2 linked regions of the Callithrix jacchus genome follow. The protein of the gene in region 2 purifies or fractionates together with the protein of the main gene of each other region. This does not show direct contact. Links are inferred from orthologs where the notes say so. Each region holds a gene or a part of one and is shown on either strand. Other genes may lie near its edges. The genes, in order: HNRNPH1 and HNRNPDL.

What was found.
Region 1: the proteins of HNRNPDL (region 2) and HNRNPH1 fractionate together in Homo sapiens (co-fractionation; 3 studies listed by BioGRID and IntAct, with this or other methods). This does not show direct contact. The link is inferred for Callithrix jacchus from reciprocal best matches to the Homo sapiens genes HNRNPDL and HNRNPH1.

What each region holds. Positions count from the first base shown.
Region 1 is NC_133503.1:72,030,397-72,042,898, forward strand, and holds the end of HNRNPH1 (heterogeneous nuclear ribonucleoprotein H), read left to right. Parts: intron 1-83; 5' UTR 84-114; coding exon 115-211; intron 212-1,919; coding exon 1,920-2,075; intron 2,076-2,280; coding exon 2,281-2,424; intron 2,425-3,902; coding exon 3,903-4,041; intron 4,042-4,985; coding exon 4,986-5,164; intron 5,165-5,252; coding exon 5,253-5,324; intron 5,325-5,380; coding exon 5,381-5,514; intron 5,515-5,670; coding exon 5,671-5,806; intron 5,807-6,196; coding exon 6,197-6,256; coding exon of another isoform or gene 6,257-6,286; intron 6,287-6,348; coding exon 6,349-6,438; intron 6,439-7,076; coding exon 7,077-7,169; intron 7,170-7,611; coding exon of another isoform or gene 7,612-7,661; intron 7,662-8,239; coding exon 8,240-8,358; 3' UTR 8,359-8,998; downstream 8,999-12,502. UniProt on the Homo sapiens protein: This protein is a component of the heterogeneous nuclear ribonucleoprotein (hnRNP) complexes which provide the substrate for the processing events that pre-mRNAs undergo before becoming functional, translatable mRNAs in the cytoplasm.
Region 2 is NC_133504.1:115,401,364-115,413,703, reverse strand, and holds HNRNPDL (heterogeneous nuclear ribonucleoprotein D-like), read right to left. Parts: upstream 12,232-12,340; 5' UTR 11,499-12,231; coding exon 11,056-11,498; intron 10,255-11,055; coding exon 10,086-10,254; intron 9,990-10,085; coding exon 9,828-9,989; intron 9,355-9,827; coding exon 9,223-9,354; intron 9,064-9,222; coding exon 8,949-9,063; intron 8,413-8,948; coding exon 8,242-8,412; intron 7,900-8,241; coding exon 7,829-7,899; 3' UTR 7,807-7,828; exon of another isoform or gene 7,436-7,806; 3' UTR 6,394-7,435; downstream 1-6,393. UniProt on the Homo sapiens protein: Acts as a transcriptional regulator. Promotes transcription repression. Promotes transcription activation in differentiated myotubes. Binds to double- and single-stranded DNA sequences. Binds to the transcription suppressor CATR sequence of the COX5B promoter.

The sequences.
Region 1 (12,502 bases), on a different chromosome or scaffold from region 2:
GGCGCGGGCCCGGGGGGGTACATCGGGGGCGGAGCACAGCTTAATGGGCGCTCTCAGGTCTGGTCCTCCTCCCCGCCTTGCAGTTTGTTTCGACGTCGGACCGCGTAAGAGACAATGATGTTGGGCACCGAAGGTGGAGAGGGATTCGTGGTGAAGGTCCGGGGGTTGCCCTGGTCTTGCTCGGCCGATGAAGTGCAGAGGTTTTTTTCTGGTGAGTTACCACTAGAACGCGGGAGTTCGAGTTCGAGGCCTGGGCGGGCGGGCTGGCGGGCGGGCTGGCGGGCAGCCGGGCTGGGGCGGGCCGGGCGGGACTCGGGGCGCCCCCTGGCGTGGCGCGGATGACTGCAGTTCCCGCTGTGCTGTTCGCGCCCCGCCGACCGCTGTTACGCAATGGAAATTTCGAAAGCCCCGCCGCCTTCCTGTTTCTTGGAGTGCTGCCGATCTGGTAGACTTGTTTTCTTTACCTGCCTTTGAACACCAGCTCTTCTTTTTTTTTCCGTTTTCGGCTCACTGCGATTCGGGTTGAAGCGATTCTCCTTGCCGCAGGCTCCGGAATAGGTGGGATTACAGGCGTGTGTCACTATGCCTGGCTAACTTACTGTACTCTTTTTCTTTTTTAAGACGGGGTTTCAACATGTTGGTTGGGCTGGTCTTGAATTCCCGATCTCAGGTGATCCGCCCGCCTTGGCCTCCAAAGTGCGTGGATTACAGGCGTGAACCACCACGCCCGGCCATCTTTTTGTATTTTTAGTAGAGACGGGGGTTTCACCATATTGGACAGGCCGGTCTCGAACTCCTGACCTGAAATGATCGGCTGCCTCGGCCTCCCAGAAGTGCTTGGGATTACAGGCGTGAGCCACTGCTCCCTGTCTGGGTATCTTTTGGAAAGGATAAATTGGCATAGATGGGATTTCTTCTTGAATCTTGAGAAAAATCTCCCGAGTGATTAGACAAATTGTAATGTTTTGGAATATCTTGAAGTGTAACCTCTTGTTTACAGTTTCGGTGTTTCCTTGAAAATGAGCATTCTGCTTCGGAAAGTTAAAGTGTCACGTCTTAATTTCGGTTTTCCTAATCAAGATTTGGTAATTGAGATGTGTTTGCTAGTCTAGTTCTTGATATGGCTCTCTATACAGTTGAAGACGCTGAAGCCCAGGGAAGTTTTCTTGCCTGTGTAAATTTTTTTCCAGTACACAGTTTTCCTGAGTATTTTCTATCAGAATGTTCTTGTTCGCAGCATTAGACTGGGGAAAAGAAATTAGTTTAGACTGATGAAATTCTATTTGGATGAAATTGACAGCTTTTGGTAAGACGTTTGTAGTGTTGACTTACTATCTGAATTTAGCGTTGGTAATGGAAAACGACCTGTAAAACAAGAACCAAGTACACTGGAAGCCACCTTGCAGGGGGCAACACTGGGTTTGGCTGCAGCTGTGCAGCTTGGAGCATTTTAGCTTGGTAACACTGATTCCCTTTCAGGTTAGTATTGGGCCTGCAATTTGGATTTGAATGAGAAACCGTAATGTCGCTGCTGGTAAAGTAAAACTGACAAATGCACCAGACCAAAACAACTCACAACGAAGTATGTTTGCCATAAAGTCACAAAGTACAGACTTGATAGTATTCTGAGAAATTGATAAAAGATTTGTGATGGAGACATGAGTAACAAGGACTCAAAAGAGAAATTCATTCTGTAACTGCTTTGAATATTGGATGTTGATGGGTTGGAAATAGATCCCCTTGGGAATGAGATTTCTTTTTTAATTGGCATTCTAGGAGTTGGTGATACCGTGGTCATTATAGTCTTCACAAGTTAATGTAATTTTTGGCGTGGGGGACATGGAATAGGTATTTCATCTGTGTCACCCAGAGGTGGTTTTAGGTTTTAAATTCTGTATTAACGGTTGTTTTCTTTCCAGACTGCAAAATTCAAAATGGGGCTCAAGGTATTCGTTTCATCTACACCAGAGAAGGCAGACCGAGTGGCGAGGCTTTTGTTGAACTTGAATCAGAAGATGAAGTCAAATTGGCCCTGAAAAAAGACAGAGAAACTATGGGACACAGATATGTTGAAGGTTTGATTTACGTTGCCCTAGTAACAGTAAATAAAGCGTTGCATATAGAGGTCTTACCCCTTCTGAATTTTAGGTATTTGACCGCATGGAAATGGTTATCTAAGGGAGTTTGTGGCAGCTCTTCCTAGCTTATCTAAAGACCCAGGAAGTCTGAACTTCGATATCTAATTTTCCAAAATTGACTAATTCTAAGCACCTCTTTCAGTATTCAAGTCAAACAACGTTGAAATGGATTGGGTGTTGAAGCATACTGGTCCAAATAGTCCTGACACGGCCAATGATGGCTTTGTACGTCTTAGAGGACTTCCCTTTGGATGTAGCAAGGAAGAAATTGTTCAGTTCTTCTCAGGTATGTAGTCCTGTTTGTTGCTGAGCAGTGAGTTTTGGCTAGCTTCTGGCAAGGTGATTTAATAAACCTTAAAGTTGAGTAGCTTAGGTCTTTAACTAGGTTGTAAATTTATGCCAATATTTTCTTCCTAGAGACCTTCAAATAATTTAAGCCCATCTTAAAGGTGGAAATGAAATACTTCCAAAATGTTAACTTTGCCTATATTTAGTATTATAGTTCAGAGTAGATCTTTCATTGAGGATTGCCCTCAACAGCTTAACTACTTTCCTCACATTGCTGTCCAGCTAAGTACCTCAAGTTAAAGGTAAGATCCCTTAACATCAGATTAGTATGATGAATTAGGTTGTTGTAAGTTATGGCAGGTGTCTGTGTTGCAAGAGACGCTTGGGTCATGGGACCAGAAACATCTCTTCTAATGGTCTTAATTCTCTTTAATGCAAAAGTCTATTATGAAAGACTTGGTTTAACCAGTGTGTTACAAACTTATTGAAAATCAGATGTAATGAGAGTAGGTTGAATGCTTGTAGTTTCAGTATCTGAAGTAACAAGTGTTGAAATTGTTTGTGGGCCTAAAGTATTTGAATGTTTTTATGCTGAAGAGCTGATAAGATTGCATGTTTAACAGAATGTTAGATATCTTATGTTTTAAGTATTAATATTTATGATGTGATAAACTGGAAGCAAGAAGTCCTTTCATGGTTTATTGTATATTAGAAATTTATATATGTATAAAGTCCTAATGTCAGAATTTTTAAAATCGTCTATTTTGTTTTTAATCTACATTGGTGAGAATTGAATGCTATCTGTCAACGTTAAATATGAACATAATTTCATATCTTCTAGGAAAGTGCTTTAAGTCCTTTTTGTAAGCTTGAGAATGTATCCACGGAAAGGATTTTTCATAGACGGAATTTCCAGAAGTGAATCATACTACTGTTAGAGCATAAGCAAGCATGATTGTCTGGTGTAGATCAGTTTTGTTGAAAATTTAGATTGTTATGTTTGTCAATAATGATTTAATGTTTTCAGTTTTTATATGAAATGTTTAAATGTGTACCTTTTTTAAAAGCTGAAGTTCCAATAACTTAAAGCATTGAAATATAAAATGAGGTAAAAGGTGTTTTGAATTTAGTAAAACTGTTTAATGCTTAAAACTTAATTGAATTTTTGTATAATTCTCAACATTAAGTTAGTTGTATTGATACGTGTTCTTAAGTTGAATTCTTAATGCATCCTGTGTTCAGCAAGTTGGTTTTAAAAAAATATATACTGTACCATGGGTGTGTTAAGAATAGTTATATTTTGTAATAATGGAACTTCATATTATTGAAATGCATATTTAAAGAGTACTTGTTGAAAGCATACCATTCACCTAAAGTTAAAAATTCTGGTTTATTTAAAGCTATAAGAAGAATCATTTCTGGGCTTGTGATGTTAATATTGCCCCCCTACTGGGGTTATTTGTCCTTGGGTTGAAGGGTTGGAAATCGTGCCAAATGGGATAACATTGCCGGTGGACTTCCAGGGGAGGAGTACGGGGGAGGCCTTCGTGCAGTTTGCTTCACAGGAAATAGCTGAAAAGGCTCTAAAGAAACACAAGGAAAGAATAGGGCACAGGTGGGGATGGATGGTTGGTTGGATATGTCACTTTTCTTATGGTAAATAATTAAATCCATATTCTCTCTGCTTAAAAGAAGAAATTAATGTTTTGTAGTCCTAGTTAATTGATGTTTTGCCATGATTTCTAAACTTCCTGTGTCAGAGTCCCATGTCATATGAAAACTAAATTTTAGGTTTAAAATTTGTCCCTAGTTAATTGGTCTACTTTACAATTTTGTGAGTCTTATTAACCCCAATAGAGTTGAGAGACTATGGCTTTAAAAAATTAATGCAAACCTCGCTTTAGCTGTAATAACAACCACCTAGTAAATTAATATTACCATAAGAAATTGTGATACTTTCTGATCTTGTTTTTAAAGTTGAAATGCAACAAACTTTTTCTTGCTGTATATAAATATTCTGCATAGTATTAATAAGCATAGCTTTCAAGAAATTGTCACAAAAGGTTTTATTCTCTTTGCTTGTGACTATTTTTCATTGAAGCATGCGCTTACCTATGCTGATTCTTACTAAAAGCATAGGCTGGGATATTTATTGGCGAAAGGAAATGTGTAGTGTGGGCTAGACTGTTGGTGGAGACTGGCTTTTTAGCCCACTTGCTATACATGCTGCCAATGGATTTAAGACTTGAAATGTTGAAAGTTGAGTGGAATTATTTCCCTCCTAAAACATTTATATACAGTACTCCTCTCTTACCCCTAAGGTTGGGCTCTGCCTCAGAGGAGTGAGTTTTTTTTTTCCTATAAAGTATACATTAAGTCTTACTATTTATTGAGTGGATTTCTGGTCATTGCCTATGCAAATATAAGAAATCTGGCTCTAAATATTAGTCAGTTTCATGGCTGTGACTAGATTGTTTTCTTGTATAACTAAATACCTGTATAAAATGAACTAATGTTCTCTCTCCCCTCCCTACCCCTTCCTTATGAACAATGCTTTAGGTATATTGAAATCTTTAAGAGCAGTAGAGCTGAAGTTAGAACTCACTATGACCCACCACGAAAGCTTATGGCCATGCAGCGGCCAGGTCCCTATGACAGACCTGGGGCTGGCAGAGGATATAACAGCATTGGCAGAGGAGCAGGCTTTGAAAGGATGAGGCGTGGTGCTTATGGTGGAGGTGCGTGAGGATTCTTAAGGTTTGGCAAGTCAGTTCCTTTGTGTAGGTGTTGTGTTTGATTGATGGTACATTTTTTTTTGTCTTTCAGGCTATGGAGGCTATGATGATTACAATGGCTATAATGATGGCTATGGATTTGGGTCAGATAGATTTGGAAGAGGTAAGGTAAGAATTGAATTTCTCAGTTGAAGGATGCTTACACTCTTGTCCATCTAGACCTCAATTACTGTTTTTCAGGAATGTCTGATCACAGATACGGGGATGGTGGCTCTACTTTCCAGAGCACAACAGGACACTGTGTACACATGCGTGGATTACCTTACAGAGCTACTGAGAATGACATTTACAATGTAAGTGTAAGACGGAACTCACAAGTCAGTATTTCAGTATGACAGTAAAAGTCTCAACTTTATTGTACTATAAAGGGAACACCATGTTAGAGATTTTAGTTTCATTTTGTAACGTTAGGAAGTTGATTCAGTTTTTTGAACTGCCTTGTGTTGTAGTTTTTTTCACCACTCAATCCTGTGAGAGTACACATTGAAATTGGTCCTGATGGCAGAGTAACTGGTGAAGCAGATGTCGAGTTTGCAACTCATGAAGATGCTGTGGCAGCTATGTCAAAAGACAAAGCAAATATGCGTAAGTGTGATTGAGCACTTATGGGCTCATTCTTAGGTGATTGTGTGACTAACATTTACAATAGAGGAATAGAAAAATAATATATGAGAAGTTTCCTTTCCAGTAATAGATTGATTCTTGGGGAACAGGGTGGGGTGTGTTAAAGGTTTGGTTTTTAAAAATTAGTTTAACAGATTTGTGATACACATCTTACATCTTGAAGTATATATCCTTTATTGACAATATAGATGAATATGTAAAGGCTAGATTTTGAAGTTATAAAGATCACCTAAGAGAAGTAACAAGTCTTTGCCCAAGTATTTGAAGTTCATAGATCTACGTGTTTAAAAAGTGCTTATCCTGTTTTCTTTCACCAACAAACATTTTCAAACTTTTTTTTTCTCATTTCAGAACACAGATATGTAGAACTCTTCTTGAATTCTACAGCAGGAGCAAGCGGTGGTGCTTACGGTAGCCAAATGCTAGGAGGCATGGGTTTGTGTAAATATCACTTTAGTGTCCTTTTTTTAAGCTAACCTTGTATGCCTTTTCTCTCATTTCAGAACACAGATATGTAGAACTCTTCTTGAATTCTACAGCAGGAGCAAGCGGTGGTGCTTATGGTAGCCAAATGATGGGAGGCATGGGCTTGTGTAAATATCGTTAGTTTTTTTAAAAACCAAAACGTTTATATCTGTATAAGTCAATTATAAGTTAAGTTAATCTATTTAATGAGTTTAGTATAACAAACTTAGGCAAAGAAAGCAGTTTCTTGATATTTGAATGAATTTTGTATCTGGCTTAAACCTTGTGTACTATGAAGTTGCTTAGGATAGATAATTCAAATTAGATATAAGTACTCTTGGGGGAGGGACCTATGGAGTGAAATTACTGAAATTTTCTGAGTATAAAGTCTAATTAAGATAAATTAGGTGTTAACTGATAAACCTTTATATTGAACATACCTTGATATATCAAACTAAGGGGAAACCCCACTAAATCCAGTCAAGCAATTTCATAAGATCTTCACAAAATGCCTCTAACTAATGGAATCGTGAATTTTAGTCCTGCCGATGTGTATACCGTTAGCACTTTGGTTTATAAATACTTGATTAGCTCAAATGATGGATAGAAGGGCAGCCTGGTTATAGACAATAGGCAGAAGGAGGCAGAGGGTTATAGTAATAGAAGATCAAGACTGGAAAATCATAGATAGAGAATTACAAGCCCGGTACCACCAGGTACCACATTACATAAGGAGCAAGGATCTAATGTTTTCTTAACTTAACAGCAAACCAGTCCAGTTATGGTGGCCCAGCCAGCCAGCAGCTGAGTGGTGGTTATGGAGGCGGCTATGGTGGCCAGAGCAGCATGAGTGGATACGGTAAGCATTTTTTTAAATATACTTAGAATAAGTTTTAGGCAGGTTTTTTTTAGTTGGGAATACATGCAGGCTCCATTTTGGTGAAATTGGGTTGTTTAATGTATGCTTCATATGTAAACTTTTTTTAGTTTAATTTCCAGAAACAATCATTGGGAGGGGGACGTGTTTTGTGAATTAAAAACTAGTTATTGCAGCTTTGGAATACTGTCGAGCCAGAAAATATCTGCCTCCATTTATTAAAACATTAAAGTTGTTCACTTTTTTGTCTTTTGGTTAGCTTTAAATCAATTTTAGATGGAGGGAGAATTTTAAATAGAATGGTGGTTGGGTTCAGGATCGTATTTATTAGTCAGTTGTTAACCTAGGATTGGTTTTATTTTTTTCAATTGGTCTAAATGGTGATTTTGGTATTATAGTCTTACCCTACAAAATCCTTTTGCAGACCAAGTTTTACAGGAAAACTCCAGTGATTTTCAATCAAACATTGCATAGGTAAATATTTTCTCAAAAAATATAATTTAAATTCCCAATAGCAAATACTGATATGTTGTAATAACACTTTTTATAGCAGTCAATGGCTCTGACTTAACCGAGGCTGCCATTTGGGCACAGTGAGTTGCCTTTAGTCCAACTTAGTTGTCTCACTTTTGCCCACCATGAATAGGAAAAGCGAGAGATTTCCCCTGTGCTCCCTATTCTCATGTCATTTGAGGGACACATTGTGAATGTTTATGGTAAATTTTTTTTTAAATGCCTTGTTTAGCTTTAAAAATATGAAGTAATTTTGCAATTTTTGAAAAACACTAGTTTTCCTTTAAACTTAATTTTTCACGTTGATCCTGAATTTCGTTAACATGGTAGCACAAGAGTCTGGCAAGTTGGTACTGCAGAGAAAAGGGGTTAATTGAGACTTGTTTGGAGTGGGATTCCCCTTTCCCAAACATGCTTCTCGCCACTTGGACAGCAGCCATTTATACTCGTATATTTTTAAACTTTTTTTTGTAATACTATATTTTATTTGACTGATAGTCTGACATTACTTCTAACTTGTCAAATTGGTCTCTTTGCAGGTAGCCAAGGAGCAATGAACAGCAGCTACTACAGTAGTGGAAGCCGTGCATCTTTGGGCGTGAATGGAATGGGAGGGATGTCTAGCATGTCCAGTATGAGTGGTGGATGGGGAATGTAATTGATTGATCCTGATCACTGACTCTTGGTCAACTTTTTTTTTTAAAGAAAAAACAAAACTTCAGTTTAACAGTTTCTGTAATACAAGCTTGTGATTTATGCTTTCTCTTTAAGTGGAAATCAGGATTCTTATGAAGACTTGGGGCTCAGTATTTTTGAATACAATACTTATCTAGGATATGAGTGAAGCTGAGTAAACTATAACTGTTAAACAAGTTCCAACTTTTCTCAAGTTAGTTATATTGTAGGATATACTTAAGCAGTAAGCGTATTTAGGTAAAAGCAGTTGAATTATATTAAGTGTTACCCTTTGCATTGAACACTGTTCAGATGCATGTTGAAAGACATGCTTTTTTTTTTTTAAACTCAATATAGGAGCTGTGTCTACAATTAAAAGTGAAACATTTTGGCATGTTTGTTAATTCTAGTTTCATTTAATAACCTGTAAGGCACGTAAGTTTAAGCTTTTTTTAAGTTAATGGGAAAAATTTGAGACGCAATACCAGTCCTTCAGGATTTTGGTCTTGGTGTTTGTATGAAATTCTGAGGCCTTGATTTAAATCTTTCATTGTATTGTGATTTCCTTTTAGGTATATTGCGCTAAGTGAAACTTGTCAAATAAATCCTCCTTTTAAAAACTGCACTGTCTGCTTCAGTGTCATGTGGAGTGAGTCTTGGTCCTCTGTGCCCACCTGGGGCCAAGGGCCACATCTCTGGCTGTGGCAGAGAGGCTTGGTAGCTGAGGCTGTTCTTCCCTCCAGTGCAACTGAAGGTAAACTCAGCTTTGGGGCCCTTGTGGAGGGGCTGTATGTCATTTGGCTGCACAGGACCTGATCTGAACTGCCTATAACGTTTTAAGCACTTGCACGAAGCAAAGCGGGAGGCACCAGTGCCCTCACTGCATGGCCTGCATGTCTAGGAGGACTTTGTGCATGGCTGGGAAGTTGCCAGAGGCAAGGGAGGTGTGATGAATATGCGGGTGCCTTCTAGAAGGAGCTAGCTCACGGAAGATTTATTTGTGGTGGAGTGTCAATGTCAGCTGAGGCTGCATTGCAGTGGCATAGTCTCAGCTCACTGCAACCACCACCTCCTGGGCTCAAGCAGTTCTACTGTTTCAGCCTCTCTAGCTGGGGTTACAGGCGTGTGCCCACCACCTCATTTTTGTATTAATTGAGGCACGGGGTTTCGCCATGTTGACCGGGCTGGTCTCCCAACTCCTGACCTTGGGGGGGCCTCCCAAAATGCTGGGATTACAGGCATGAGCCACCATGTCCAGCCTTCACAGATGGTTTTCAAATTGAGGTTTTGAACTTTATGTTTTGGGCTAATTTCTAAAAATCAGTTCCAATTGGGGTCAAAATTCCATGTAAACCTCTTCAGGTAGAATGATAGGTAGTGATTGAGAGCAAACATGACTGGTTTAAATGAACTCTTCAAATGTATCCCCTTTATGGTAGTTTGGAGCGCCAACATGCTAGCAAGTATTCAAGTTGCTTTAAAGCAACTTGGAAAGTGTGATTGCAGAGTTCCTTCAGTAGATGCTTAGGGGCACTGCAGTTTAGGAACTGCCACTATTTCATCCCTTTAGATTCAAAGTCCCTGATAATGGATTCAGAATGTAGAGTCCAAGCTAGGCTGTCACATAACATAGGCTTGTGCCCTTTAAAGCAAAGTGTGGATAAGCTTTCTCTTCCTGTGGTTTACACAGAAGCTGTTCTTGAGTTTTTGGGGTAGGGCTAGGTAGGGTGGACAGAGTGGGGCTTAGTGTTGGTTGTTTCTAACCATCTGCCCACAGAAGCAGTGCATACAGGAGACATGGGCAGCAGGAGGGGCTTGCAGATCCTACCTTGGCTGCGTGCCTTACCAGGACTGGAAACCAGCGGAGGGAAAGGTCTGGAATGTATTCTTTGTTTTGTCTTAGGCATGTCTAGAGAGAGCAGCAGTTCTCAGTGGGCAGGCAGTGTTGAGAGTTGAGCTGTGTTATAAGCCTGGTGCTGCGCCTGAAATCTTGTTGGGTTAATGTAGTTTGGTATTGAGGCCCAGTGTTGAGAAAGCTTGAAGGTTCCTTCTCTGGGTCCTTTAGTTAACTGGTACATTTAGGGATAAAACTTGCCCTGTTAGAGAAGGGACTAATAAGAAGGAACTTGGAGTAGTAGTAAGCTAAATCCAGAGCCCTATGGCTTTTAAGAAACGAGTCTAGGCCAGGTGCAGTGGCTGACACCTGTAATCTCAACACTTTGGGAGGCTGAGGTGGGTGGATCACCTGAGGTCAGGAGCTCAAGACCAGTCTGTCCAACACAGTGAAAACCCATCTCTACTAAAAGTACAAAAATCAGCCTGGCGTGTTGGCGCACACTTGTAATCTCAGCTACTGGGACACTGAGGCAGGAGAATTGCTTGAACCTGGGAGGTGGAGGTTGCAGTGAGCTGAGATCTTGCCATTGCACTCTAGTCTAGGTGATGAGGGAAACTGTCCAATGCCTGTAATACCAATTCCAGCATTTTCGGAGTCTGAGGTCGGGAGTTTGAGACCAGCCTGACAAACATGGAGAAACCCAATCTCTACTAAAAATACAAAACAAGCTGGGTGTGGTAGCACGTGCCTGTAATCCCAGCTACTCCAGAGGCTGAGGCAGAAGAATCGCTTGAACCCAGGAGGCGGAGTTTGGAGTGACCTGAGATTGTGCCATTGCACTCCAGCCTGGGTGGGCACCAAGAGTGAAACTTCATCTCAGAAAGGAGTCTAGAAGCATTATGGTTCTTTGGAATCTTGTGCTCCATAGCTTGTCTGCAGTGACTCAACCTCCTGACCCTGTCAGCTGGAATCTGCATTTTATTTTTTTTTTTGAGATAAAGTTTTGCTTGTTGCCCAGGCTGGAGTGCATGGTGCAATCTTGGCTCACTGCAGCTTCTGCCTCCTGGGTTCAAGTAATTGTCCTGCCTCAGCCTCCTGAGTAGCTGGGATTACAAGTGCCTGCTGCCAGGCCCAGCTAATTTTTTTTGTATTTTTAGTAGAGACGGTTTCATCATTGCCCAGGCTTGTTGCAAACTCCTGACTTCAGGTGATCCACCTGCCTTGGCCTCCCAAAGTGTTGAGATCACAGGCGTGAGCCACTGTGGCTGGCTAGAATCTGCATTTTAAACAACAAAACCCTGACCACTCACCCCTATTTCAGTTGACATGGGAAGCACAGAATATCTATCCCTCATTTCTCAGGCTGGGTAAAGGTTACCATCTTTACTAAACTTTGGAACCACCAATCCCTGGTCTGGTAAAGGTACTGCAGAGAAAAGGCATTAATTGAGACTTGTTTGGAGTCGGGATTCCCCTTTCCCAAACATGCTTCTTGTTTAGAGTCAGAATTCCCTCTTTCCTAAACCTGGGTGGTGGAGATTGCTTCTCGCCATCTGGACAGCAGCCATTTGTACTTGTATACAGCCACCAGGTTGGCTAAGGAGGTGTGAACAGGCCCAGGTCGGAAATGGAACAGGTCAAAACTCCCGTGCTGATCAGTAGTGGGATTGTGCCTGTGAAAAGCCACTGCACTCAAGCCTGGGCAACATAGTGAGACCCCATCTCTTTAAAGGAAAAGAAAGGCTGGGAACCTGAGGTCTGGATTTGGTGAGGGTAGGGAGCCTGTGGGAAGTGAAGGTAGGGTGGTCAGCAAGATATATGTATAGAAGGTGGATAAGGATGAGGCCTGGAAGACTTGGTTGTTTGTACTTGACAATGCAGTTATCTGTACCCTAAGAGCCCTAGGCCATTGGCTCCTGTCTGGGGCTCTGAGGGAGGGACTAGAAGCCAGTTCTAGCACTGTGTTAATGGCTCACACCTGTAATCAGCACTTTGGGAGGCTAAGGTGGGTGGATCACAAGGTCAGGAGTTCCAGACCAGCTTGGCCAACACAGTGAAACCCCATCTCTACTAAAAGTACAAAAAAGTAGCTGGGCATGGTGGTGGGCACCTGTAATCCCAGCTAGCTACTTGGAGGCTGAGGCGGGAGAATCACTTGAACCTAGAAGGCTGAGGCTGAAATCACTCCATTGCACTCCAGCCTGGGTGACGGAGCGAGACTGTCTCAAAAAGAGTGGCCTGGCAAATGCTTTTCCACAGGTGTCTCTGTCACCAATCACACTCCCAATTA
Region 2 (12,340 bases):
CTATCTATCTATCTATCTATTTATTTATTTGAGACAGAGTTTCGCTCTTGTTACCCAAGCTGGAGTGCAATGGTGCGATCTTGCCTCACGGCAACCTCCACCTCCTGGGTTCAGGCAATTCTCCTGCCTCAGCCTCCTGAGTCGCTGGGATTACAGGCATGCACCACCATGCCCAGCTAATTTTTTGTATTTTTAGTAGAGATGGGGTTTCACCATGTTGAACGGGATGGTCTCAATCTCTCGACCTCGTGATCCACCCGCCTCAGCCTCCCAAAGTGCTGGGATTACAGGCGTGAGCCATTGCGCCCGGCCGCAAATTTTATTTATTTATTATTTATTTATTTATTTTTGGAGATGAAGTTTCGCTCTTGTTACCCAGGCTGGAGTGCAATGGCGCAATCTCGGCTCACCGCAACCTCCGCCTCCTGGGTTCAAGCAATTCTCCTGCCTCAGTCTCCTGAGTAGCTGGGATTACAGGCCCGCACCACCATGCCCAGCTAATTTTTTGTATTTTTAGTAGAGATGGGGTTTCACCATGTTGACCAGGATGGGCTCAATTTCTTGACCTCGTGATCCATTCACCTCGGCCTCCCAAAGTGCTGGGATTACAGGCGTGAGCCACCGCGCCCGGCACTTCTGGAAAATTTTAAGCCTCTTGAAATGTTGCTGCTTATTCTCACTCTGTTGTGTGTGTGTGTGTGTGTTTTTTGAGATGGAGTCTTGCTCTGTCGCCCAGGATGGAGTGCAGTGGCACAATCTTGGCTCACTGCAACCTCTGCTTCCCACTGCAACCTTCGTTCAAGCGATTCTCTTGACTCAGCCTCCCGACTAGCTGGGATTACAGGTGTGCACTATCATGCCTGACTAATTTTTGTATTTTTAGTAGAGACAGGGTTTCACCATGATGGCCAGGCTGATCTTGAACTCCTGGCCTCAAATAATCTGCCTGCCTTGGCCTCCCAAAGTACTGGAATTACAGGCGTGAGCCACCATGCCCAGCCAGCATTTTTGATATTTTAAAAGCCCATTAGACATTACATATCACTTAAAAAATGTATACAATAAAAATATTCTTGATTTGGCTGCCACTACATCAACTTGGTATGATGTTGATTATACCTTTGATTAATAGAAATGTTATTATTATATAATGAGAGCAATATATTTGACAAGTAAAGCCATTCAAAACGCATTGTCTATGGGGAGAAGATATTTAAAGGGTTTCCTGGTGATGAAATATTGAAATTTCTATGATACGTCTTAACCCGCACTAATCACATCCTCCTTTCATTCCTCTGCTTCCAGTGTCTAAGAAAAACATTTATGCCCCCCAGATGTTTCATGGTTCAAGGGCCATCTAAATAATGTGTCAATTTCATAGGCCATGTCTTTTATGGGAAGAGCAGTTGCTCCAGATTATCCAGGCTCAAATTCCTTTAGAGGAACAAGAATGGATCAACTGTAATACAATCTTACTTTGCTACAATTAATCTCAACACTGAGAAACCAAGCATATTAATGAATTTGAGACCAGTCTGACGATGTGGCGAAACCCTATCTCTACTAAAATACAAAATACAAAATTAATTAATCACTCAATTAGCTGACTTCCCCAATTTAACATTAGGGGATTAAAACTGGGCAAGGTGACTCATGCTGGTAATCCCAGCATGGTCCTTTGGGTGGTGTAAGCAGGAAGATCACTGGTGCCCGAGGGGTTCAAGACCAGCCTAGGCAACATAGTGAGACCCTGTCTCTAAGACAAACAAATAAATAAATAAATAACCTTTAGCTTGGGCAATATAGCAAGACCTCATCTCTACTAAAAATAAAAAAAAAATTAGCTAGGTGTGGAGGCGTGTGCCTGTGGCCCCCATGGGAGGCTGAGGTGGGAGGGTTGGTTGAGCCCAGGAGGTTGAGGCTGTAGTAAGCCATGATGGCACCACTGCACTCCAGCCTGGGTGACAAAGTGAGACCCTGTCATCAATAAAACAATCTTCTATGAGTGTTCACCAGCCAAGACAAATACCCAGGTGGTAGGTGGAGAACATATGAAGAAACTCCCATTGTGAAACCTCATCAATTACAACAAATTCAATCAATTTTAGTCAGTTTGTTACCATAAAAGCCAACAACTACAAGAGCCTTTTAAAACAGATAGTTTTCTAAGTTTCTAATTTTCCTGAAACTACACTGAAAGTATTTACAGACATGCAATTTTTGGGTCTGAAGAGAATTCACTTTTGGTCAGATTCCCAAAAGGAGATTACCATTGGAACAGTATGAGAAAAACTTGCCTGTAAAGTTTCTCGAATTTTCTAGCTTGTGCTGGTCTTTGAGAAATCAAAATCAGCCTTTTTGGTTATTTGGATTTTAAGTGACAAGATTATGTTGAATATGCTTTTTTCTTTTTTTTTTTTTCTGAGACAGAGTCTCACTCTGTGGCCTCGGCTGGAGAGATCAGTGGCACTGTCTCAGCTCACTGCAACCTCTGCCTCCCAGGTTCAAGTGATTCTCCTGCCTCAGCCTCCCAAATAGCTGGGATTATGGTCGCCTGCCACCATACCTGACTAATTTTTGTATTTTTAGTAGAGACAGGGTTTCACCATGTTGCCCAGGCTGGTCTCAAACTCTTGACCTTAGGTTGCCTACCCACCTCAGCCTCCCCAAAGTTCTGGGATTGCAGGCATGAGCCACCGTGTCTGGCCAAATATACTTTTTCAAACTACCCTTTAGCTTCACTACCCTCCAAGATTATGATACAGCTCCCCAAATGGGTACATTTCTTTGAGTACTGATAGAAGGGTAACACCAGAGATTAAACTGACACTTAGGAATAGCACAATTCTGGCAGAGAGGAGCGGCTCATGCCTGTAATCCCAGGACTTTGGGAGGCTGAGGCTGGTGGAAAACCCAAGGTCAGGAGTTTGAGACCAGTCTGACGATGTGGCGAAACCCTATCTCTACTAAAAATACAAAAATTAGCCAGGCATGGTGACAGACTCCTGTAATCCCAGCTACTCAGGAGGCTGAGACAGAACTGCTTGAACCCAGGAGGTGAAGGTTTTGGTGAGCTGAGATTGCACAGCTGCACTCCAGCCTGGGCAACAAGAGCAAAACTCCATCTCAGGGGGAAAAAAAAAGAATAGCACAATTCCAAGCTCATGCTTGTTGAGGGGCGGGGGAAAAAAGAGGAGCAGCAGGAGTTAAGCTCTTCAGAATGTTCAGCATTACTCTGTAATACCCAGAACATCACTATATCCTTTCCTACTGTTTTATAAAAAGAAGTCAAAGGTTGTATTTTTATTTTTTCCTATTAACTAAATCTTGCTGAAATTCCACATCGAACCTATTTCAAGGCAAATGTTAAGACCCCAACCAATCCCAAAAGAACAGCCTATATTTTTATAAGCAATATTTTCTAGTGACCATTTAAAAAGATATAGAATTTGCATTGTTTTTGCTTAAAAGTTGAAAACAAAGATTAGATGCCAACTCCAATTACGCTTAAAGTTTAAGGAAAGTGGTGTTTCTTCTAGAATGACACTTTCTAACTACTCAACACTGAATCAATTCAAATGGTATACACAGACGTCTATAACACAGGATCTCACTCTGTCTCTGCAATGGAGCGATCATAGCTCAACTGCAGCTGAAGCCATTTTTTTTTTTTTTTTTTTTTTGAGTTCTCACTTTTTTGCCCAGGCTGGAGTACAGAGCTCACTGCAACCTCCGTCTCCTGGACTCCAGTGATCCTCCCACCTCAATGTACCACCATGACCAGCTAATTTTTGTATTTTTAGCAGAGTTGGGGTTTTGTCATATTGGCCAGGTTGGTCTTCAACTCCTGGACTCAAGCCATCCACCTGCCTCGGCCTCCCAAAGTGCTAGGATTACACGCATGAGCCACTGTGCTCGGCCAGCTTAACTTTTTAATTGGTGAAGTTCAGTGTCCTGTAATTTTTTGAGTCTCACTTTGTTTCCCAAGGTGGAGTGCAGTGGCATGAACATGACTCATTGCACCCTTCACCTCCCTGGCACTAGCAATTATCCTGATTCAACCCAAGTAGCTGGGACTACAGGCATGCACCACAACATTGCGCTAATTTTTGTATTTTTTGTAGACAGGGTTTTGCCATGTTGTCCAGGCTGAGCTCAAGTGATCCACCTGCCTTGGCCTCCGAAAGTGCTGGGATTACAGGCATGAGCTATAGCACGCAGCATAGCATCCTGATTGACACTAAATCAAATCTTGGTAATGGAAGGTGGCTGAATTGTTCAGATGTCCTTGTATTAAATTTTGTGAAGATTAAAAATCTCTGCCATTATGAAAATAGATACACTGAAGAGTAATGGAATAAGCTCTGCTTATCCATGCTAGCATTCCCACAGATATCTCATTTTAATAGTCCTCATCTTATAAAAGTGGCTCAGATTACAGATTAATATGTCAACCAATGGAAACACTAAGGCCTTTTGTTAGGAAAACACACAGAATTTGGGTCTAAACAATACAAAAAGCAAATGTTGTATAAAATCATATTCAAACTGAATTGTTATAGGTACTTTAGAATTCATTTCTATCCACCCTCCCCAAGGATAGCATCACACAGAATTTGTTCTAAACAATGCAAAAGGCAAATACGATGTATAAAAACATACAAACTGAGTGGTATAGGTACAGAATTCATTTCTGTCCCCTCTCCCCAATAAACGTGTCCAACTACTTAATTCTACATTAATTCTTAGGAATGAGATCTTGATACTAGCTTCACAGTTCCATCCAATCAGAAGTGCCTAGGACACTTACAGTCTTCATAGTCTCTATTTCAAATTTTCATCAGTTGGTGAACTGATTGTCCCTAAAAACTGAATTAAACCTAGAGTTCAAAGTCCCTCCAAGAAAAACCAAGTGCATTCTCACCCCGCTTCCAATTCTTTATAAAAGCACCTCAATCACCTCTAGATGTTTTCTCACTCATACATATCAAGACTTAAAAAAAAAAGTTTGGATTTTGTTTAAAAAGCCTTTATTTTTTTGATCAGGGAAAAGGACAATCTCAATGTCAACTTGTCACCTAATCATAAATTTGAACTTACAGGATTCACTACCTGTAGACACTGCACCTACTAACACAACTTAAAAGTAAACTTCCTTCCATTCCCTAAAGTTGCATGTTCAATGAACAGAATCCCTTCCAACAGCTAACACTGGTACTTGGCCTAGGTGTGAAGACAAATAGCAAAACAGCAGCAAAAAAAGGCCAAGAACATTATAACTTGATAGCCCAGCAAATACAATCATCGTATCAAAGTTGTAGGCACCAAATTAAAAAGGGGGATTCACCAGCGTAAGAAACACCAGTTGAGATCACCCATTGTGTGGGATCAACTACTCTGCCTGTGAACATGTATGCCAATCCCAGTGAGGCAAAGGTCCCCAAATCCAAGAAACCACACTGAATGCAAAATTCAAAGCATTTATCCAGGTCCTCTGAAATCTGGATGTTTCTTCTCAATGCACCAGGAGGGTCCACTGTAATTACTCAGTGACATTTGGACTGACACACCTAAGATACTTTTTCCACTATTTCTATTTCTGAATATGGAAATGTTTAACTACTCATGCAGTTAAAAATTAGATTTACTATAATGGCTTTTCCTAAACTCACAAAGCATTAACAGTTAACTGTAATACAACTTCCTCAGAATGTCCAAACAGAAAATGTTTTGTTCAGTCTTGTGGTAGCTGTGGGAAGAGTACAATTCAATCTTACTTTGCCACTATTTCAAATCTGAATCTAATTTTTGCCCAGTCATACCTTTCTGCCAAAATCCTTGACTTGTAACTACTCACTACTTTCAATGGTCTTAAATCATAGCTCCTACCAGTTTTACAGTGCTCCTTCCTGTGTGCATGCAAATTTTTATCAAGAAATAGTCATGGTGTCATGATTACAAAGCTTTTTCTAAGTGACCACTGATGAAAGCCAAAGTAATTAGCAACTCAAAAATGGCTTTCCAGAGACAGGAACAAAGCAAAAGGAGCCACTAACAGTTTTATTACAATCGAGAAGAAACATGGTCTACTAGAAAGCTTCTCCTAATCACAACACTTAGGTCTTCCTCCCAGGACAGTCTTCAGATAACCAGAGGGGAAGGAACATTATTCAAAGGTGTGGTAGAAACCTCATTTACCAGGGAGAAGATGAAGGCTTAAGATCATAGAATATATCTAACAAATTGGGGAAGAGAATGATGTTGGCTATTTATAAAGGACCACAGTTTCTCCCTATGGACCAATACTCCCTACAAAACCAATTGTGCCTTAATTATTGCTTATTTTAAATTACATTTTTACAGAGCTATGTAGTACCAGACACAGAAAAGCAATCACATAAGGAAGCATTTATTTGAAGTTTAACATGAAATCATACAAATAAAATGTGTATAAACAAATCCACATTGAGTCATAACACAAATAGCAAAGGACAAAGTAAAAACAAAGAAAACTAATTGGCAGCTATATACAGTTGGACACAATTGTGTCTTGTACACTAGAAAGTCTTTACAAAATAATCATCTTAGATCAACAGAAGACCAATCTTCAATGTCGTCCTGCAAGATGGGTTACTTTAACAACTCCTCCTAAAAACAAAAACAAAATAACGATTAGATGTGTGCAACTCTGACAAGCTTTTAAAGGTCCACTTTCATGAACTGTTTTAAGTCCTCACTTTATTCTTTTCTTCAATAATTAAAGATCATATGCATATTTATTAGGAAAATACAGTCTGGGTAGTTAAGAAACTCACCCTGGAGTTCCCAAATGATATTAAATTCAAATATATTCAAGAAAGAATCTGGGAATACAATCTTCCCATATTCAAATGTTCAACTATGCTAGATTAAGGTCTACTAGAAGCATCTCTAGTAACCCAAGCAAAATGCTATTATAAACACCAATTTCTAATAAGCTTATTACAAGCACATAAATTGATTTGTGCATATGATCTTTAATTTATATCCCAGATTTAAAAGTTCTTGTTTTGGTTTGTAGATTTCACTATTAGCTATAAAAAGAAAAAGCAAGCATTAAATCTTAAAAGAATGAACACTTAAAATGAGGCTCCACAATTGAAATACAACACTAAACAGAAGACCAAAATGATTAAGCTGTAAAAAGGCATTTATGTACTTTAACTCCTGTAAAAAACCATTTAAGTTAAGTTTAGACACTTAATCTCCAAAAAGATTAAAAAAGAAGCCAAAGTCTGAAGTTTTCCACTTTAATCTTTACGCTGGTACATGAAGTTGGAAGAGACCATACCACAGGACAGCGTTTTCTGGTGTATGCCTTGCGCTCTGCCCGCAACGTGCGACCCCCAGAGATAGACGTGGTCAGGGTGACACACGGCCTGCAATGAAGTTCCCGCTGGCGGGTACAAACAAGGTATAATGTCAGAGTTAGAAGACAACATTCTTGTTTTCCTTAAGTTGTACCCATTTCAGTACTTTACCTGTTAATAGTTCTAAAATGTTTAATTATTCCTCTAGACCACCTGGTACACAAAAGCAAACAGAAAAACTCTTAAGTTTTTCTGCAGTACTAAAGAAAGTGAGATAAGACTTTAAAGTTAAAGATCTATAGACACTTTAGGCAAAACAGGCTTATAAAGCAATTAAAAAAAATCAACAATTTAGTAAAAACAGGCTACATTATATTTTGTTTTTACGTTTCATTTGTCTATTGATCTTTAAATTAAATTAGACATTTCTACTGTTTTCCTGTACTCTTATACACACCTGTTTTTTTCAATGGTCTCCTTTAGTATGGCTGGTAATTATTTTGGTGATTGCCACCCCCTCGAGATGCCTTGCCATAAGTGCTCTGTTGGCCTATTTTGAGAAGACAAATTTCATTAAGGTAGTTTTCTACAAAATCGTTTCTTTACAAACGCATTAAGAAACTATTAAATCTACAAATCTTTGCATGCTAAATAAAAATATTAAAATATATTTTAGTACCCATTATAACCTACTCATAAGCCATACATCCTAGTACATTTATAACCACCACAATGTTAGTACAATCACTCTATGATTGTAACATGATTCAAATGCTTAACTCCAAACACTTTAATTAGTGGAAAGCCTATACACACAATTTCAGAATGGAATTGTATGTTAACACTGAATTGTAATGCCATTGGTTGATAAAATTAAGTTAAATGTTCTTACCACTGTAGTCTGCATATCCCTGTCCATATCCATAGTTCCCATAGTTATACCCAGTATAATCATATCCGCCATAGCCACTATAGTTTTGATCACCACCATAGGCACTATTGTAATTTCCATATCCTTGATCATAATAGTTATTAAATCCTTGGTTCCAGTTTTGGCCCTGACCTGAAACAATGCACAATGATTGTTAGGAAACAACTTCTGACCCCCAATTCTAACATAAAATGATGCGTTCTTGTCCCTCACTCTGCAAATCTTAAAGGGCAGAATGGACACATTTATTGCTATCTGCTTGAAAAAGTATTTTTCCAGCTGTTATAAAAAAGGGGGCAGAAAGTCCAATTGTGCCAGTATCAAGCTTCCTAAATTTAATGGCAAATCATTAAATTTTTCATTAAAGCTGAAGAGAGGTACACTGTTCTGTTTAAAACAAGGACTCCTGCCCAAGGAAACCTATCATGCCATGGTGTATAACATGTAATGGTACACGTCTCCTATCAGTGATGACACTAATTCTCAAAGTGGCCATACTTTTAAGTTTTTTTGAAACCAGTGAGCTCACAAGAAAAAACCACCACACACAACCCCCACTAAGCTGAACATTTTCCCTCGCAAGTTTTACTTTCTTACAGGATTACTCATATTTAGCAGTATACAGCTTAAATAAACCATGGAGTCATATTTCAAGAATTAAGTCTCACCTCGGCCACGACCCCTTGTACCACCTCGTCCACCAGCTGCAGCACCTCTTCCACCTTTTTGTTGTTGCTGTTGCTGCCTATATACCTCTTTGGGTTGTGCAACTTTTATTTCACACTATAAACAAATTAAAAAACATAAAAATAGAATTTTTACTTAAGTTCTAAAAAGTCAAATCATTATTCTCAAACACACTGAGAAATTCTCTCTCTCACACACACACACACACAAAACCACCCCTTAAAATTTTCATTTAAAGTACTTAAATGGCTTTACCTTCCCAGAACCAATCTGATGATATCTGCTTTCTAACAATTTTTTTACTGGCTCTTCATCGGTATATGTGATAAAACAAAATCCTCTTCTCTCATTTGTTTTTGTATCCATGGGAAGTTCAATGTTTTCAATCTGAAATCGAGATGCACACTCAAGGTCATTCCATAATTGTAAAATGCTACCAGAGTGTCCGAATGCCACAGGTCCTTTTCAAGCTTCAACTTAAAGATTTTAATCTTATAAGATGACTTCTATACAGACAGCACTGCTTTATGATCAACATCAGCCTACAGTGGTTTGTTGTACATGTGAAGCACTGAGAGAAAAGTAAAACATCCTTTAGGATTATTTTATACAGCAAAGATGCCACTAGTTAACCAGTCCAAAAACTGACCACATTTAAGTACCCACGTTTTGGTTAAATTAATTAGATAGTTGGACTTCTATGAGAGCAGCCATCAAATCAAGGTACAGTCTGGAAGCGACGTGAGCAGTCATTTAATCCTACCCTCACATGAAACATGAATCTGCCCTATATGAAACAGACCAGGAATTAACATTTTATAAACACATTAAGCTTAACATGTGTAAACATAATCACACACCTCTCCAAAGGCTCCAAAATATTCTTTAATTTGTTCTTCAGAAGTATCCGGGCTCAATCCACCCACAAAAACCTTTTTGGGAGGTTCTTTCCCTTTTAAAGCTTTGGCCCTTTTGGGATCTATCAATTTGCCATCCAGTTTGTGTTCTTTCAGTTCCAAAACCTGTAAGACAGATTTATTTAATCTGACGGCAGCATATAACCCCCAGAAAAATTTGCAAAATACCACAAAAGCAGCACATTGCACAACAGTTCCTACCTTATCAACACTAGCAGCATCTTTGAAAAGCACAAATCCAAATCCTCTTGATCTCCCAGTGACTGGATCTGTTTTAATTGTGCAGTCTACAACTTCCCCAAATCGAGACAAATATTCAGTCAGATCTTTTTTGCTTGTATCCCAGCTCAAGCCTCCAATAAACATTTTACTAGAAATAAAAGTTTAAAAAAAAAAGTTTAGCAATAACTCAAGTGACTCCTTCAGTTCTGGAATTAATTAAATCGTGAAAACATGGACATTTATCTCGTGTTAGCAACTTAAATCTGTTTACACTTAACCTATGTCACACAAGTCAACAGACCACAAACATCCCAATATCCCAACCGAATTACTCAAACCAGCGGACAGATCGCTCTCTGCACCGTATAAAGCAAAGCTCAAAGGAGACCAATAGGATATGGTAAAGGTTCTGCCCAGATTCCTTTGAGTGGAAGGCCCAACTTCCAGGACGAATTCCTCACATCTTAGGTCCACCCTCGTCCTCAGCTGTCAAGCCAACGTTCCACCGAGAGAACTCATCAATCATAACACGTTCTGGGAATCTGGGTACCAGTCGCCTGCTTGTGCCCGAACTCACAGTCCTCTAAACTCTTCCCAGGAAAACCGCGCCGAGTGTTAAGAGAGACACAATGAAGAGGCGGCCGCAGCTGCAGCGTGCGGCGCAGAGAAGCCGGCCCCTCCCCCCGGGTCCCACGCGGCGCCTGCGCACTCGGGACACAGACGCCACCGCCCTCCTCCTTCAACCCCTCCGCCCTTCCCCCACTCTTCCCGGCCTCTCCAGTCACCTCCTTGATCTCTTACTTTCCTCTTCCCTCCAAGCTAGTGGGGCCCAGCGGGCACGCGGAGAATCGACTCCGAGAAAGAATGGGGGCGGCGCGAGGATCCCGAGAGACGAAGGGCGGGTGCGGCGCGCTGGGGTAGGGAGAGTGGGGGAAGAAGCGTGCGGTACCCGTCATCCTGCTGATTCTTGCTCGCATTGATCTTGGATCCCTCTGCGAATTCCTCTATGTTGCTGTACTCGTTCATGTCCTCCATAGCGGCGGAGCTGTCGGCAGGGGGGTGCTGGCGCGCAGTCCGGGTCGCGGCAGCAGCAGCGGCGGAGCGTTGTATGGAGCCGGATTTAAAATGGCGGCGGAAGAGATCCGGGCGCCGCCTGCGCCCTCCCTTTATAGCTGCCCCGCCCGCCAATCGGGAGGGCTGCTGGGCGGTGACGTGGCGCTGGGCCCGGCGCGCCCCCTGCCGGGCGGAGCTGGCAGCGAGCGAAGGGAGGAGCGGGGCAAGCTGTCGCGGCGCCCGCGGCCGCCAATGGGAGAGGTTGCGGGAGGCTAAAGTAGCGGGAGCGGAGGGGAACAATGGCGGCGGCACATGGGAAAGCCGAGGCGGGACCTCCATCGCGGCCCTCCCGGCGAGGAGCGAGGCCACGCGTGAGGGGACGTAGGCTTGGGATGAGAGAGGAATCAGAAGAGAAAAACGAAGGGGCGTAAAGTCCTGGGGTCAGCAGTCCCGAGCAGCGCCGACGCAGGGCCACAGTCCCTCTTGCCTTGGGAGCCTTTGTCTCTGGCGTCCGGTCCAGCCTACTCCTACCAAAGAGCCGTCAACCCCGCCTTTTTCTGCCCTTGGTTCGCTAGTGAGGAGCCGCTGCGGCGGCCGCTGCTACCGACTAGCACCGCGGCCGGGCTGCTCCGGAAAAAGGCGGATTGCGCCCGGCGCTGGGGGCTGAGGCGGCGAGCGCGTTCGCCCGCCGCGCGCACGCGTGTTTTGTTCCCGAGCTGGCTGGAACCAGCCGAACAGGAAGCGGGCGCGCGACGGCCCCTCCGGGCAGCGCTGCGCGGGCGCCTCTTCCGCTGTGGCCCCGGGCTAGCGGGCCAAGGGGGCGCGGCGGGCCTCCCCAGCAGATCGGCCAAAGCCCGGGCCCAGCGCGACCTCTTTGGCGGGCGGACGCCGGGAGGAGGGGCGGGGGCTGGCCAGATGACTGTATCTATGCAAAGTAGGATGCGGTGGGTGGGGAGGGGGCCGGGTGCAGTAGAAGGCAAGGGGCACTCACATCCCCGGCGCGCCACTCGCGTGGCTCCCGTCTGCACGTGCCCCGAGCCTCTCCAGCTCGTTCAACCAGTCTGCGGAAGGCGCGCTCGCGTAGCGAGCTCCCGCGTTCACTTCTTTGTTCCCGCCCACGCGAGGCCCATTTTGACGGATCGCGTTTGAGGTCCGACGGCGGCCAATCGGCGCTGGCGCTT